3 linked regions of the Ovis aries genome follow. The protein of the gene in region 1 interacts with the protein of each later gene in a biochemical or structural test. Links are inferred from orthologs where the notes say so. Each region holds a gene or a part of one and is shown in the gene's direction. Other genes may lie near its edges.

Evidence for each region. The genes of interacting proteins can lie anywhere in the genome.
Region 2: the proteins of ATXN3 (region 1) and PRKN form a complex in vitro, tested with the Homo sapiens proteins (4 studies listed by BioGRID and IntAct, with this or other methods). The link is inferred for Ovis aries from reciprocal best matches to the Homo sapiens genes ATXN3 and PRKN.
Region 3: of the proteins of ATXN3 (region 1) and CAPN2, one has a biochemical effect on the other in vitro, tested with the Homo sapiens proteins (2 studies listed by BioGRID). The link is inferred for Ovis aries from reciprocal best matches to the Homo sapiens genes ATXN3 and CAPN2.

The regions. Positions count from the first base shown.
Region 1 is NC_056071.1:54,580,277-54,586,135, reverse strand, and holds part of ATXN3 (ataxin-3), read left to right. Parts: intron 1-3,043; coding exon 3,044-3,176; intron 3,177-3,520; coding exon 3,521-3,687; intron 3,688-5,297; coding exon 5,298-5,394; coding exon of another isoform or gene 5,395-5,398; intron 5,399-5,859. UniProt on the Homo sapiens protein: Deubiquitinating enzyme involved in protein homeostasis maintenance, transcription, cytoskeleton regulation, myogenesis and degradation of misfolded chaperone substrates.
Region 2 is NC_056061.1:85,692,192-85,698,050, reverse strand, and holds part of PRKN (E3 ubiquitin-protein ligase parkin), read left to right. Parts: intron 1-1,459; coding exon 1,460-1,623; intron 1,624-5,859. UniProt on the Homo sapiens protein: Functions within a multiprotein E3 ubiquitin ligase complex, catalyzing the covalent attachment of ubiquitin moieties onto substrate proteins. Substrates include SYT11 and VDAC1.
Region 3 is NC_056065.1:26,347,883-26,353,741, forward strand, and holds part of CAPN2 (calpain-2 catalytic subunit), read left to right. Parts: intron 1-262; coding exon 263-381; intron 382-1,374; coding exon 1,375-1,508; intron 1,509-2,634; coding exon 2,635-2,803; intron 2,804-3,980; coding exon 3,981-4,064; intron 4,065-5,678; coding exon 5,679-5,764; intron 5,765-5,859. UniProt on the Homo sapiens protein: Calcium-regulated non-lysosomal thiol-protease which catalyzes limited proteolysis of substrates involved in cytoskeletal remodeling and signal transduction. Proteolytically cleaves MYOC at 'Arg-226'.

The DNA.
Region 1 (5,859 bases):
TAAAATCATAGCTCAGGGCTTCCCTGGTGGCTCAGTGGTAAAGAATCTACCTGCCAGTGCAGGAGACACAGGCTCCACCCCTGGCCCAGGAAGGCCCCATGTGCCATGGGATAACTAAGCCTGTGTACCACAACTATTGAGTCTGCGGTCTGGACTTGGAACCACAACTACTGAGCCCAGGAGCTGCAACTACTCTATAGCCCATGCTCTAGAACCGGTTCTCCACAGCAAAAGAGGCCACTGCAATGAGAAGTGTGCATACCACAACTAGAGGGTAGCCTCTGCTCCCCAAAACTAGAGAAAAGGCCAAGCAGCGACAAAGACCCAGCACAGCTGTAATAAAATAAACCATAGTTCATATGCTCTAGTCTCTTGTAATTACTATTGATACTCAATATTGTCACGTCTTGGATGAGTGGGAACCTTTTCAACTTGACTCTCAAGCTTTTGAAATGACCACTCTCGCCTTTTGAAGCCCTTTTTAGGTCATATAATAAGAATTTTCAGTCTTGTGTGTTTCCTTCCCCTTTAGTAATGGTGATTCGAGATCGCAGTCTGTGCGCTGGTGTGCTTATTGCTACTAGGTTGGTTGTCATGTAGGTCTCTCCAGTTTTCATGTAGGATCATTATGTTGTAATGTCTTCGATTTTATATACTTTATCTCTTTTCTTTTATGCCTAAAACCTTTGTTCCTAACTACATCTTCCCTTTTTGAAATCCTGTCTCTGCTCCTCTTCCAAGCCACTGTGCTCTAGTTTGCTTCATGTCGTATTGGCTGCTGCTTTCAGATGCCTTTTATGGATCCTACTCTTTAATCTCTAGCTAATGAAGTGACCCAGAGTCAGTCTTGGACAACTTCTTGACTGTGTGCTGTCCCATTATTTTAGATATCATCTCTAAATAAAGTCTATCTGCCATAATTCCTTAGACTTTTATCAACATCTACCCCAAGCACTAAACCCCTAACTTTCGCATCTCCACTCAGAAGTCCAGAAAGCATTTCAATCTGAATATGTTTACAAAAGACTCATTTTTTTCTCCCCATACTTGCGGTCCCTCTGTCCGTTTTCATAAGCCCCGCTCTTCTTGCGCATTGGTTGCTATATATTACACTGAGAAGGCAGCCTAGAGTGCTCTTCTTAAAATATAATGCACATCGTGGCATACTTTCACTCTTCGACCCTTCAGTGGCTTCTTAGCACACTTAGAATGAAATCTAATCTTGAATAAAACCCAAGCTCCTCACAGTGTCACCTCTGTAAAGCAGTTTCTGCTCTTCATGATGCTCTTCATGGAATAGCATGGGGAGCTAACAGAGTGTATCCACAACCTAGAAAACAGTTTTACTGGCATAAAACCTGTTCAACCGTCTGAACTCTGAGTATACTTGTCCTTGTGAAAAAAAGTGTTAAGTGTATTATGATTTACTCTTGAGTTTTTCCATTAATAGGCCTTATAATCTTTTTTTAAAATTTCATTTTCTGTTAATGCTCATAAAGAATATCTATAATAAGCACCAAGTGAAAGTGAAATCGCTCAGTCATGTCCAACTCTTTGCAACCCCACGGACGGTAGCCTACCAGTCTCCTCAGTCTATGGAATCTTCCAGGCAAGAATACTGGAGTGGGTTGCTGTTTCCTTCTCCAGGGGATCTTCCCGACCCAGGGATCGAACCCAGATCTCCTGCATTGCAGGCACATGCTTTACCATCTGAGCCACCAGGGAAGCCAAATAAGCACCAAGGTTGAAGAAAATTTATGGTAGAAAAATGAAAATTGATCAAAATGGCTTAGGTATAGCCCACCCTTATTCGGCTATTGTATGGAGTATCCAGCTGGGAAAACCTTGGCTTTCCAGAGTTGTATTAATTAAAAAATTACATTGGACAAATGTAATTTTTTCAAAACATGAACCACATCTTCAGCACCTTGACTAGAATTTAGGGTATTGGCTTTCCAGGTCCTGTTTTCAGTTAGGAAGGCTGTGTGTCAGGGTCAGCTATTTCCATAGATAACTCATTTTACTCATATTGCAGATTTTTACACACATCTTCTGATCATGTCCTCAAATAGCACTCTGCGGAAGGTACAGCATAATCTGTTCAACAGTTGAAGAAATCAAGACATAGAGGGGTAAAGTGATCAACAGAGGCAGTTAGGAAACAGAAGAGCCAGGGCACTAAAACCCGGGCTGTCTGAGTATACACTCCTTGCTCTTCCTCAGTCCTTTCCTTGCCTTTCTGTTGTCACTTAGGAAGTAAGCTACTTGGTCAAGCACTGTTTTAGTATGTTTTAAGTATATTTCCATGAAAAGTGAAAGGAAAGTTGCTCAGTCGTGTCCGACTCTTTGCAACCCCATGGACTATACAGTCCGTGGAATTCTCCAGGCCAGAATACTGGAGTGGGTAGTCGTTCCCTTCTCCAGGGGATCTTCCCAACCCAGGGATCGAACCCAGGTTTCCCACATTGCAGGCAGATTCTTTACTAACTGAGCCACCAGGGAAGCCTCATACTTAATTATTGCCCCTGTCAGATTCTGCACAAATTATTAAGCACAAATTAGGTATGTTTCCTTGTTCTTACTTAATTAGAGCCCTTTTCAGATTCAAATACTTCTCATAGTCACTCTATGAGATGGCTATTCCCATTTTACAGGTGAAGAGGTTTAGAGGGACTTCCCTGGTTGTCCAGTGGTTAAGAATTTGCCTTGCAATGAAGGGGACATGAGTTTGATTCCTGGTTGGGAAACTATTAATAAGATCCCACATGCCACCGAGCAGCTAAGCCCACGTGCCACAATGAAAGATCCAACTAAGACCAGTTGAAGAAATTTATATATATGGAAGTGAGGCTTAAAGACCTTAAGTAATTTGTCCTAGACCACCCCACTGGTAAGTGTAAGAACCATTTCTTGGATCCAGGTCTTCCTCACTCCCTGGTTTGTGGTCTTCCCGCTGTTGTGCTGCCTCTCTGTCTGCTATCATTTTCAGTCCATTTTGAATCACTTGCTAGCTGTTGTAGATAATTTTTGCCTTTTTTTTTAGGTTACTCTATATTTGTTGTTAAGGGTGATCTGCCAGATTGTGAAGCTGACCAACTTCTACAGATGATCAGAGTCCAACAGATGCATCGACCAAAACTTATTGGAGAAGAATTAGCACAACTTAAAGAACAGAGGTAAAGCTGAGCCTGCAGTGTGGGGTATATGATAGTATTTCATTACAAGAATTAAATTTACATGAAGATGTGGTCCTTTTATTCTTGGTGGGTTTTTTTTTTAGACCTTTCTGTTTAAGTGTAGCTTATTGGTTTAACCTTGGATCAACTCTCTGAATTATTTAAGTATACTTCCCAACACAAATTCATGTCACAATAGGACCTTTGTATTATTAGATGTTATCTGCAAAAAAAAATGTGTAAGTTTTCAACTTACATAAAAATCTTTGGTTTATAAATGTCTCTATGTTATAATTACAATAAAAGAATGGTCTGCAGTTATTATTTGTGCTTTTATTCTTCAGAGTCCAGAAAACAGGTCTAGAACGCGTCTTAGAAGTAAATGATGGGACAGGAGTGTTAGACGAGGATGAGGAGGACTTTCAGAGGGCTCTGGCACTAAGTCGCCAAGAAATTGACATGGAAGATGAAGAGGCTGATCTCCGCAGGGCCATTCAGCTCAGTATGCAAGGTATGGACATTCCAACACTTACTTTATTTGTTGTTGAAGCAATTGATTTAGATCATTTTTAGTTCTTCTGGAAATGAATATACTGTTGGTAGAAGTTCTTTGACAGTCACAGAAGCAGTAGCTATGTATAATCAGTTATTGGTTTTTTTTAGATATTATTTAATACATATAATGTTTAATACATATAACATACATATAACTTTATGACTTGTGTTAAATTAGGACTAGTTATATTTTCATTTCTGGTCATTCAGTTTGGTTATAATATGGTGCAAACACAGTACTAAACGGAGCTAATCATTGTGAGGTCAGTGGACCCTTGCCAAGACCAGCTATTTAAATGCATTATAATGGCTGTGAAGGAAGGTCTGGACAGAGACTATAAATTGATTTTACAAAACTCTAAAACTTACTGGCTGTGGAACTTTTGGCTTAAGCTCACTTTGGTGGGCTCACTCTTTTAGCCCACCACACCTCTTCCCCCACCCACTCCCACCCCAGGGAATCCAAGTAGAGGGAAATGTCTAGGACGTTGCTCAAAGGGGCTTACTTTAAAAGTGTAATGGGTTTTCTTTTTTGGGGGTTGTTTTGTTTTTGTCTAATATGAATTTGCCTTCTACTTTCTAATGAAATTACACATCAATTGAATTCCTTAAGTATCTAAATAAAATTGAGTTTCTGTTAATATGAAAATTATCCTTTTTATGCTATATTTTATTCTGAACTGCTCATGCCTCCTGGCCACGTCTGAGTACTCTGTGTGGTGCACAGGCCCATTTTGGATTAGCAGAGTCCTGCTAGGTTAGCCCAGTGGTGGACAGACACAGCCTTATTAGTTTTAGACATTTTTGTGTCCTTTACTCTTCTTCCCACGTTATTTTACAATTTGTACAGAATCTGATTGGAGCAATAATTTAGTAAGAACACAGAAACATACTTAAGTTATGTCAGTACCCAGATGTTTGAAGATAAAGGAATATACAGAGTGGGTTTATTTTACAATCATCCACTTTAAGTTACTTCTAGGAATTCTGTGCCTTCAAAAGTGTAGATTGATTTCTGGGACTTCCCTGGTGGTACATTGGTTAAGAATCCTTCTTGCAAAGCAGGGGCCATGGGTTCGATCCTTGGTCAAGGAACTGAAATCCCACATGTCTCAGAGCAACTAAGCCCGCAAGCGCTACAACTAGAGGGTCTGTGTGCCTCAAGCAAAGATCCGCCATGGTGCAAGGAAGATCCCACGTGCCGTAGCTGACTCAGTGCAGCCAAATAAATAAATTTATTTATTTTTAAAAAGTGTAGATTCATTTCTAATAAGTAGAGAGCAAGCACGTGTGGTGCTAGTTGTTTCTCCTGCCAGATGGCCACTGAACTTACCTCACGTCCACTGTGTCACAGATTGATAGTAGGCGTGGCCGCAGTGGACACAGGTGCGGTTGAACTACCTTATTCTGATTTTCCCTGAACCTTTCAGAGCCTTTCTTACATTTACAGAATGGTGCAGAGTAGTTTTGAGAAGAAAACTTTTTGAAAGCTCCTTCACCTAAGTATAAACACGTCGTGACGTGGTAAATAAAACTGGTTTTTGTTGTGTTTTATTCGGTTTTCAGGTACTTCCAGAAACAGATGTCAAGATATCCCACAGACATCGGGTTCACATCCTACTTCAGAAGAGCTGCGGAAGAGAAGAGAAGCCTACTTTGAAAAGTAAAGTAGTTGGTACCATATTAAAACTGCAGATTTTATCTTTACCTTGGCCGTTTTGTCTATTTGTAGCCATATAGCTTTGACCTAACCATTCATTTTATTTAGAATTCCCTCTAATACTGAAATCAAATATGGTTTTAGGAGAAAATTTTGCCTCAGTACTAATTAAATTTTCATGAAATAGGGTGAAGGAAGCCTTGTAAAATTTCAGTCATCAAAAGAAACATGGAATTGGATCAAGGCAAGAACAAAGCCCTGTGGTCCTTTGAATATACTTCCTGGTTACCTGACTAACCCTACAAAGTTCTGTCAGTTAATAGGAAAAACACCATTTATCATAGGAGAACACACTCTCAAATAGAGCTGGTGCTTAACCACTCTGCTCGTTACCACACCCGGGGATGGAGGGGGTTGGCTGCCGCAGGCCCGTCAGCATCGGGGCGCATGAGAGTAACCGTAAATCTC
Region 2 (5,859 bases), on another chromosome or scaffold:
ATCCTGCGTCAGACATAGACTGGCGATTCAATTCACATGATAGTATACATGTTAGAATGTCATTCTCCCAAATCATCCCACCTCTCCTCTCCTCTGAGTCCAAAAGTCCGTTATACACATCTGTGTCTCTTTCCCTGTCTTGCATACAGGGTTGTCATTGCCATCTTCCTAAATTCCATATATATGTGTTAGTATACTGTATTGGTGTTTTTCTTTCTGGCTTACTTCACTCTGTATAATCGGCTCCAGTTTCATCCATCTCATCAGAACTGATTCAAATGAATTCTTTTAACGGCTGAGTAATACTCCATTGGGGGCACTTAGTTTAAAAGCTTTAAGCCTTTAAACTTTTTCAGGGCTGTGACATGGTAGCACTCTTGAATAAGGTTTACTTTGCAGAACAATGTAGGACATTCTGAAAGTGAAAGGAGTATATTAAGACTTCAGTTGCGTTTCCCTGGTGGCTCAGTTGGTAAAGAATCTGCCTGCAGTGTGGGCGACCTGGCTTATATCTCTGGGCCAGGGGAGATTTCCCCCCGAGATGAAAATGGCAGCCCACTGCCGGATTCGTGCCTCGAGAATTCCACGGGCAGACGAGCCTGCTGGGTTGCACGGGACCTGCAGTCCATGGGGTGGCAAAGTGTTGGACGCGACTGAGCGACACACACACAGACAAGACTTCAGTTGGGAGGCTGTTGCAAGAATCAAGATGTGATTGATAAGCATCGTGACTGGAGGAATGCAACGGAAAGGCCAGATGCAAGAAGAGACTTGGAGGAGGTGGATGGCATTGGCAGCAAGAAGACATGGAGAGGCTGCAAGGCTCCAGCCTGGGTCTTGAGGAGGATAGTGGCTCCAGGAGAAATGGCGTCTTTCAAAAGAAGGGGCAGATGCATGTTTCCGTGAGACCCAGTGGAGCCTTTTGGCTGGGACCGCCAGTGATGGCTCGGGCTCTTAGACACAACCTGGTGCGTCTTCACTCTAGTTCAGAAAGTGGCTTGATTTCTTTCCACTGCTGTACCATGAGTGCTGACATGACGCCTTTGATTTTTTATTAAGGGGGATGCCGTAGAGGCAGTGTGAGTTTGTACAGGCTGTCAGAGCTGAATCTCCTGGATAAACTCTTGGGAATCTCACAATTCCAATCAAGCAAGTGTTCTGCTTGAGTCCCCCTGTTTCGCAGGACGATGTCAAAGGGAGCATGCAATTTTGTTTGTGGGTCACTGCCTAATATATGAAAGGGAAATCCCATAGGATAACTCCATTTTTCTCCAAATGTTGCTCCATAGCCTTAAGCTTTATAAGTGAAAGAAAATGCACACTGCTTATCAAAGGGCAGGAGAGGGGCAAATCAATTCAGAAATATTGCACTGCCATTAAGGATTGCCATTAAATGCAATTGCCATTTAAGGGTTTTGACTAAAGCTTCGTGTGTTGTTTTTTTTTTTTTTTGGTCCAGTGTTTGTCAGGTTCAACTCTAACCACGGGTTCCCAGTGGAGGTCGATTCTGACACCAGCATCTTCCAGCTCAAGGAGGTGGTTGCTAAGCGACAGGGGGTTCCAGCTGACCAGCTGTGTGTGATTTTCGCAGGGAAGGAGCTTCGGAATGGCTTGACAGTGCAGGTGAGTCTCCCTGGGCGGAGGGTTCCTGGGCTGCGGCCAGCCCCATTGCTTATGCCGCTTGCGCAGCCAAGCTGACATTCATGCCTGAGATCTAATAGAATAAATAGTGCCTAGGGATTCCTTGAACTTTACTCCACACCGCTTCATTAATTCTGACCTTCTTAATTATGCATTAAAACAGCAAGCAGGTACGGATTGGAGAACAACTGTGACTGGGAGAGAGAAGAGAGAGAGAGCGAGCACACAGACTGGGCTTAGTGAATAAATGTTTACTGACTAGAGGAGCAGCAAGGCACCGTTTCTGGGTCTGTTCAATTTCTACCGTACTTATTCCACTTGAATCTTAATGAAGGAGTCACAGAAATTGTCCCAGATCCGGCTGCTCAGTCACTGTGCCGGGAGGGATCTGCAACCCAATTGTGACCCCTGGAGGATGGTCCCGGGTCTGCCGCCGCAGCTCAGGATGGGAGGAGGTTTTGGGGCTCAGGGCCTTGGAGCAGATTCGCGAGCTCCCTGCCCATCAGCGCCCGAGGCGGCGGGGAGGAGGACGCACGCACCGCGAACGTCAACCTGTGTGTTTAATTTCTCCAAGTTTCAGTAACAAGTTCCCCAGAATGGGCCGCTGAAATGTTGGGGAGGGTGCAGCCAGTGTTTTACTCTCCTGTCCCTGACGCTTTCCTGGCACCGTGGGGCTCCTCATAGCATCACAGCGCTGTATCTTTTCATGGAGTGGGGGTGGGGCTTCATTCCCAGCTGGTATTTCCGCAGGGGAAGAGGTGAACTGGGCAGGCCATTGGGGAGCAGTGCCTTCCTCTGGGAGTGGAGACCAGTCTTGTGTTGGGGAAGCCAGCAAACAGGCCCCAATACGGATTGAAGTCACTCTCTGAGAAAGTATGAAAACCCACTTGCTTTCTGTGAACTGTTCAGGTGATCCTGAAGAACCCCAAACACATTCCCCGCGTCCCCCTTTTTTCACCAGCTCAGATGAGTTGCATTTCTGCCTGCAGCTGTTTGGGGGCCTGCTCTTGTGAACAGTGGTGGTGGTGGGGTGCTGTGTCTTTACCCAGTCCCTACTTTATTGACATCCTATGGCTGTCTCTTTTTGGTGATGATGTTTACTGCTTTAAGAAAGGCTTTCGGATCTGGGTGTAAGAGAGCCCTATGGAAATGTGAATTGCCCCCTCTTCTCCAGCACCCCTTCTCTGACAGCAGTCTGCTCTGCTCCGTGCACACAGGGTGCTGTGCTTTGCTTTTAGGCAATTTGTGTTTATAAGGGAAGCACCTGTGCTGAAAAGTGTTTTGGTGTTTTTTTTTTTTTTTTTTTTTTTTAAATTTCAGTCACCTAGAAAGCTTTTTTTTACTGTACCTGCCAAGCTCTAAAACCAAGGATGTTCCCATCATAAATTATTTTAAAACAGCTTCTTGAACCAAAATATTTTGTTATCCGAAGTTTTCAGGTTCTAAAGTTTCTCACCTCTACCGCTGGAGGTGATAGGTTATACCAATTACTATAGACAGTTGATTTCTACAGATGGATAGATACAAATATAGATATCTGGATGGGTTCATTAAGATTCTTGATTTTCACAACACTTCCAGTATTCTGGGCTTCTGAGAGGATCCCAAAGAAAGTCAGTACCCACTGCTATTTTCTTAGAGACTGCTGTTGACTTAGGCCCTCTAAAATCAACAGTAATACTAGATTGAACTACATAGGTTAAAAATATCAGCAGTTTCATGGGGCTCAAACTAATAGCTATAACATAAGGGTGTCAAACACGATAACTGCCATATAAAAACTGAAATATAAGTATTATGAAATTTTAAAGATGTAGGAGAAACAGCTGAGTGAATGTCACCAATAAAGACTTCAGGGTGAGTTGAAACTCAAGTAGGATTCTGGAGATGAAGAATGAGCGTGAGAGGTGTGTGGGAGCAAGCAAAGGGTCCTATTCCTGTAGAACCTAGAGGAGGTGCTGAAGGTGTGTGACAGGGGAATTGGGAGCTGTGTTTTAGAAAGCTTTGACCCATGTGACATTGACGTTTCATGCGAGGAGATGGAGAACAAAATAGGATGCCATGGAGGGAAAAGCGAGTCTGGAAATGCCGGTTCACCACTGGCGGGAGTTTCCCAGATTGCAAGAGTTAATGCCAGGGGGAGATGCTGGCAGGCAGTCACACTGAGGTGGGGAGCTCAGGGCTTGCTCTGAGCACTCTCTGCATGGAGGTAAGTACCGCAGTGACTGGAACAGATTCAGTTGCCGGGGTGCAGAGCGTACGGCACGAGCAGTTCCTCCGGTAACAGGAGAGGAGCCGATATACGAGGCATTGTGCATCCAGCTGGCATTTTCATGGATAATTTGGGGAAAGAAAATCACTAGTAAAGAATGTATGTGCCGTGAAAACATGGAGGACAAGGAAGCAAAGAGCCTTTGGGCTTGGTGACAGTGGTGGTGACTTAGGGGCTTTCGGGCCAGGACTGTAGCTGGAGAAAGTCAGCTTGCAGGGGTTCAGTGTGAATCGCGGGCTTTGTCACAGGCACAGCTCGTCTGGTCATGGAGGGAAGGAGAGACTGGGAGTTCATGGAGGAGCAGCAGCTTCCGCACTGTGTCCTGCCTTTCACAGCCCTTGACTGTGCGCATGGCTGACTTTGATACAGTTGTAATCGGTGTGAAAATGCAATTTTATGTAGTGAATTTCTTTCCCTGAACATTATGTCGAGAGAAGGCAATGGCACCCCACTCCAGTGCTCTTGCCTAGAAAATCCTGTGGATGGAGGAGCCTGGTAGGCTGCAGTCCATGGGGTCACTAAGAGTCAGACATGACTGAGCGACTTCACTTGCATTTTTCACTTTCCTGCATTGGAGAAGGAAATGGCAACCCACTCCAGTGTTCTTGCCTGGAGAATCCCAGGGCTGGGGGAGCCTGGTGGGCTGCCGTCTGTGGGGTCGCAGAATGGGACACGACTGACGCGACTTAGCAGCAGCAGCAGAGGTAGGAGTGGGCCAGGTGTTTTCCAGAGAAAGTGGAGTTCCATCCCTGAGAAGATCCCCCAGAGTAGGAAGTGGCAACCCACTCCAGTGTTCTTGCCTGGAGAATCCCAGGGCTGGGGGAGCCTGGTGGGCTGCCAGAGCCTGGTGGGCTGCCGTCTGTGGGGTCGCAGAGTCGGACAGGACTGAAGCGACCTAGCAGCAGCAGTAACATTATGTCAAAGGCGTCTTCCCTGGTGCTGTGTATTCATTTCTAAGTGCCTAGATGATCCTCTGAAATGAGAGTGCTTATGTTATATATAGGGAGCATCTAGTTTTTAATATTACAAATTAAGGCAAAATAATTTTTTAAATGGTCTCTAATATTCTTAGAGAATATGGCCTCTGTGTTTCAGTTTGCATGAAGTATTCTCTTGGTGTGTCCAGTTTTCTTGAAGAGATCTCTAGTCTTTCCCATTCTTTTGTTTTCCTCTGTTTGTTTGCATTGATCACGGAGGAAGGCTTTCTTATTCCTCCTTGCTATTCTTTGGAGCTCTGCATTCAGATGGGTATATCTTTCCTTTTCTCCTTTGCCTTTTGCTTCTCTTCTTTTCTCAACTATTTGTAAGGCCTCCTCAGACAACCATTTTGCCTTCTTGTATGTCTGTTTCTTTGGGATGATTTTGGTCACCATCTCCCGTATGATTTTATGAACTTAATAGTTCTTCAGGCACTCTGTCTATCAGACCCAATTCCTTGACTGTATTTCTCACTTCCACTGTATAATTGTAAGGGATTTGATTTAGGTCATACCTGAATGGCCTTGTGGTTTTCTCCACTTTCTTCAATTGAAATATGAATTTTACAATAAGGAGCTGGTGATCTGAGCCATAGTCATTTCCCCGGTCTTGTTTTTGCTGACTGTATAGAGCTGCTCCATCTTTGGTTGCAAAGAATGTAATAAATCTGATTTCGGAATTGACCATCTGGTAATGTCCATGTGTAGAATCTTCTCTTGTGTTGTTGGAAGAGGGTGTTTGCTATGACCAGTGTGTTCTCTTGACAAAACTCTGTTAGCCTTTGTCCTACTTCAGTTTACTCATTTGTAAAACTGAATTAATAATAATTCCTCTCTCATTGGGATTCTGTGAGGGCTAAGTTAATTTATGTAAAACTCTTAGAGCAGAGTGTGACATATAGTAAACACATATATTAGCATTTATTAGCATCATCACTATCATAGTTGTTATTATTGTTTTTATTATTA
Region 3 (5,859 bases), on another chromosome or scaffold:
CAGCTCCCACAGCGTCTACGTCTTTCAGGGAATGAATTCTCCCATCGCCACCCAACTGCTATCACAACGTAAACATCTCTCCCTCAGCAGCCCCCTCAAAGCATCACCCCAGCCTTCCTCCACACCCCTCACATGAGGACCAGCTGGAACATCTGGGCCAGGTTGGCCTTAGGCTTCCAGCACCAGAGGCGGTGACAAGCTGTTTAATATTCTCTTGGCACTGAGACCTCTCTGATGAGAGTTCCTTGTGCTGTGTTCACAGGTGACTGCTGGCTGCTGGCCGCCATTGCCTCCCTCACTTTGAATGAAGAAATTCTGGCTCGAGTCGTCCCCCTGGACCAGAGCTTCCAGGAGAACTATGCAGGGATCTTCCACTTCCAGGTAACTTAATAGTTGGCTCAAGCTTCACATCAGGTCCTGGTTGTTGTTCAGTTGCTCAGTCATGTCTGACTCTTTGCAACCCCATGGACTGCAGCACACCAGGCTTCCTTGTCCTTCACTATCTCTCGAGTTTGCTCAAACTCATGTCCATTGAATCAGTGATGCCATCCAACCTTCTCATTCCCTCTTCCTCCTGCCTTCAATCTTTCCCAGCATCAGGGTCTTTTGCAGTGAGTTGGCTCTTTGCATCAGGTGGCCAAAGTATTGGAGCTTCAGCTTCAGCATCAGTCCTTCCAATGAATATTCAGGGTTGATTTCCTTTAGGATTGACGGGATTGATCTCCTTGCAGTCCAAGAGACTCTCAAGAGTCTTCTCCAACACCACAATTCAAACAAGACCTGGGGGCCAGGATCATGTCCTGGGTACTAGGAGCAAGTGTGGAGGTTAGAATGGATCCTGGGGGCCAGGAGCAGATGCTAGGGGCCGAGGACAATACTCTTCTACTAAGGACACTGAGAAACATCAGGAAGCTCCCTTGCCTGCCACCAACCTGGGACCCTGTAAGGACAGCAATGGCGAGGAGGGCGGTAGGGCAGGGTTCTCAGGAAGTGGTTCCCAAGTTTTTTTAAAAAAGTGTGCTATTTAGGATCTGAGACAAAACATTAAGGTATGGCTCACTGTCCTCCTTGTATGCTGGTAAATGAGAAATAGTATTTTTTAAAGTATAAGGTGCAGGGTAGAGGGTGGGAGGGGAGGGTGTGGCCTCAGAGGGAGGGGCAAGCATGTGTCCTTGGTTTCTCAGTGAGGATGTACCTGCAGGAAGAGGGCTGGAGGAAGCACCTCTTCCCAGGGTGGGCTCATGGAGCCTACGCCCAGGGCCTCCTACGGGAGAAGCCAGGTGCAGCTGAGGCTCAAGGGGTGGAAAGGACCCCAGGCTGCCGCCTGCCACCAGGTCCTTCTCCAGGCCAGCCCTCTCTCTCCCTGCCCTGCAGTTCTGGCAGTACGGCGAGTGGGTGGAGGTGGTGGTGGACGACAGGCTGCCCACCAAGGACGGGGAGCTGCTCTTCGTGCACTCAGCAGAGGGCAGCGAGTTCTGGAGTGCGCTGCTGGAGAAGGCCTACGCCAAGTAAGTGCCCGCACCCTGCCCCTGCCAGCCTGCCCCCAGCTCCCCTGCATTCTGGAAAAGACAGAAACTATTCAAGGACGATTTTGAAAAAAAAAAAAAAAAAGTCCTATACTACAGAAGGACTACTCTGGACAAAACTGGGCTCGAAATTCGAGGAGATAATGCACATGGCTATTGCCATTTTTCACCAAATGCACAGGAACACGTTACGGTACTGATCGTGCTGGCCTTGAGGACATCTACTTCCTTGGCAGGTCATGTTACATTTTTGTCAGCTAAATACAGCAAAGATTTTTTGCCAAATGAGCAAAACAATTCATTGCAGAGGTATGAAAATTATGGAAATTTGCCCAGAATACATAATATACTGATTAGAAATGGTTTTCCCCAGCCCCCCTAGGTGCATCCCCCACAGGCTGCCTTGTCCAGTGCTCAGCACTGCCTGTTCTCAGCAGGAACCCACCCCCTACCACCATCTGTCCAACCCCCTGCAGAGTGTGCCCGGTCCTGGCCCTGATGCCTGGGCTATCTCTGGGAAAATGAGCAGCTCTCAGGCACCAGGAGGATTTCTGTTCTCCAGCCCCTGCCAAGGAGGAGGGCCAGGAGTCAGCCACCAGCTGTGAGAAGCTGGGGCCTGAATTGCTGCTAAGTCTACACACAAGCAGTAGAGTTAGGGAAGCCACAGGGCACCAACGTTGTGACCAGGGCGCCATCAGGAGCGACCAGCACCTCCTAAGACAGTGCCGAGGATGCTCAGGGAAGCTGCTTTCATTACTGAACCGCTGTCCCCTTTTAAGCTATAACCGCCAAACAGCCCATTTAGCAGACCCCTTTCCTGCCAGGATGCAGAGAGAATCAATACAGGAGGTTGGCGAGATAAACATCCAGGTCCTTCCAGCCCTAAGGTTCTATGAGACTTTTCCAAATATTTCACAAAGTACCAGGCAGTGGTAACCACATGGACAGTCACCTGCCCTCATGGGCAACCCGAACTGGAGACAAACCAAGGAGAGACTGAGCAGAGGGTCCCTGGAGCATCCAACAAAAGAGGCCTGAGTTGGGCGGGACACTTTGAGAAGTGGAAATTTCAACTCCGGTGGCCACAGTGTCTCTCCCCTTCCTGCAGGATCAATGGGTGTTATGAAGCACTTTCGGGGGGCGCCACCACCGAGGGCTTCGAGGACTTCACTGGAGGCATCGCCGAGTGGTATGAGTTGAGGAAGGCCCCTCCCAACCTGTTCAGGATCATCCAGAAGGCTCTGCAGAAAGGCTCTCTCCTGGGCTGCTCCATCGATGTAAGTCCAGGCCCCTCCCTCCCCAGCAGAATCCTAATCTGCTCTAGTGGAAGTGAGCTTCCAACAGTGACCAAACAGACCCACTGCCCTTACTCCCCGCACAACTAGCCCATCCTTTGTCCACCATATTGCACATCACCTGGAGCCCAGGGGTGGCTAGGCAACAGTCAGGCTGGCTGGGGGTACAACTGGTGCCCAAATGGTGACTCCAGCCTCCAGCCGTTCTCTCTCCAGCCCACGTACAACCCTCATCCTCCTGTGACTCACCACCCAGATCACAGCTTCCGTGAGAGTCCCCTGCCCTCTGCTGGGCCCAACCCCATTCACCTTCAGCCCACCTGCAGGGCCTGTGCCCAGAGACCAGCAGCCTCCCCCCAACTGGTGCAGGGTTAGCAGACCTGTAGGAAGACTTTAGGAGGCACAGAGAGGAACCGTCCCCTCATGCTAGCCTTGCTGGCACACCTCGCCACAGGAAGGGAGGTGGGTGTGACATCCTGTCCGCAAGGAGCCGCCAGGCTTTGCCTGTGCCCAGCGGCAGGGAGGCCGTCCTTTGCCTGTCCTAACCAGGAGGAGCTGGTTGCTCTGGGATCAGGCATAAGAAGCCTGGCTCTGGCGGGTCCAAGTCTGTGTGCAACTCTAGGCAGGGATTTGCAGACCTTCTCTGCAGACCATGTCCAGGCAGAGACCCTTTCTACTAGCACCCCTTCTCGTTGACTCAGACAAAAATAACCACCTCCATCACAACAGATGGGGAATAGGATCCCTGGGGAAGCCTTAATAGACAGACGCCAATTCTGAAGTCAGGCAGAAACGGAGAACTGCTCTCGAGTAAACCCTGCAGCGGGGCGGGGCAGGGCGATCCGTGCGGTTTCCAGAGACCCAGCGCATTTGGACCGCCCAGGTGTGTGCCCTGAGCCCCCTCTGCACGGCGTGCCCTTTTCCTGCGGGAATTTGTGACTGCGCGGGGCACACACACGAGTGCAAGTGCGGCGCCCCCCGAGGGCTGCTTGCAGCCTCTCCTCTGGTTGTAAATAACAGCGGGAGGGCTCTGGGCGGGAGTGGGGAGGCTCTCTCACCCACCGCCCAGGACCCCCGCCCTGCAGTAGGACCCGAGCGAGGGAGGGAAGGAGGGAGAAGGCGGGATGCGGAGGCCGGACTGATTCTCCCGCGTTTGCAGATCACCAGCGCGGCGGACTCGGAGGCCATCACGTTCCAGAAGCTGGTGAAGGGGCACGCGTACTCGGTGACCGGCGCCGAGGAGGTAACGCCCGGCAGGCATTCCTGGGGATCTTTCCCTCCCTCACCCGATGGCAGAACCACTTTTTGCCTGCTTGCCGAGGGTGGGGCCCCGCGTTCCCGGTCCTTTCCCAGCAGCCCCGCGTTGCTGAAGTTCAGGCCTCGCGACGGGCGGCCCTCCCCAGCGCCTGCCGGCCGCGCGCTGCCCTCTGCTGGCCGCGAGTGGGGCCAGGCGCCGTGCCGTCAAGTTCCAGAATCGCCTCCCTCCTCCAGACCAGCTAAAGACAACACGACACTGCGTCGTGTTCCAGCCTCTTTCAAGTGCTTTCACATTTGATCTCACAAAAGCATTGGTGCCCCAGTTAGTGTTCAAATCTGACTCTGCCCCTTGCACGCTGTTGGCCTGGGCAGGTGTTTAAACTCTCTTCTGCTCCCCAGTTTCCCAAAGTTGAATTAGAAACAATAATACAGTGATACCCGTTGTAAGGTTGTTGAGGTGACTCAAACGAGTTAAAACTTGTAAAGTGCTCAGACTTCCTGACAAGTTGTGTATAAACAAATCGCTCAAAAAAAAAAAATCGCTCTCTTTGACTTTGCGGCTATCATTACTACGCTGCTGCTGCTGCTGCTGCTAAGTCGCTTCAGTCAAGTCCCACTCGTAGCGACCCCATGGACTGCAGCCCACCAGCCTCCTCCGTCCATGGGATTTTCCAGGCAAGAGTAGTGGAGTTGGGTGCCACTGCCTTCTCCTATCATTACTACAAATGTTGTTAGATAGCCATATTCTAATCACTGAATGAAGAGTAGATCCCAGGTCGGCTGACATACCCAGTGCGGTTTTTTGTTTTTAACCTTGAATCTTTGTTTTATCCAACTCCCCGCATCTTTGTATTCTGAAAAATTTCAAGTCTACAGAAAAGCTGAAAGAATCCTACAGCAAACATTCAAATGCTATTTCCCTGGATTCAACAATGGTTAAGATTTTCCACAGCTGTCTCATCGCTTAGGGTGTACTTTCTTTCTGAGCCATTTGGAAGGAAATCGCAAATGTCACAACACTTCACTCACTCCTGACACTTCAGTATTTATCTCCTGCCCACAGGGACACTGTTTACATAATCCCAGTACTGTTTTCATCCTGAAGAAATAAACATTAATTCAATAATGTGATGCAATAAACAGTGCATATAAACATTTCCCCAACTGCTCCAAAATGTCTTTTATAGCCTCCTCAACGCCCTCAGTCCAAGGTTTAGTCAAGATCCATGTACGGTGTTTGCTTGTCGTCACCAGTGTTCATTTGACGGAGCTCCTGTGACAAAAGTACATCCTATTATAGTCAGCTGAACGGAGGTTCAAAGGTGACGTGCCAGTGCAGAGCCCACAACAAGGGCGTTTGTGCCTCAGGCTCACAACAGAGGTGGAAGAGCCCTGGTCCTCTGAGGGCTAGATCCCGGGAGCTGCCACAAGCTGAGCAGCAGCGAGGGTCTAGGGGTCAAACCCTTCTCCCTTTTGTGATCCCCCTTGTAACATGGCTCCCATCCCTGCCTCGTGGAGAAAGGGGCTCTGGGCCGGAGAACCTCCAGGCCTGGCTTGAACTTAGCATCTCCCTCCTCTCCTTCACCCACCCGTCCTTCAGGTGGAAAGCAGAGGAAGCCTGCAGAAGCTGATCCGCATCCGGAATCCCTGGGGAGAGGTGGAGTGGACCGGGCAGTGGAATGACAAGTGAGAAGGGTGGTGGGGGTCTGGGTGGGGGGCGTCTGTCCAGGAACCTCTGGAAGGGGAGCTAAGGAGAGAGCACACAGCGGCTGTGCTGAGAA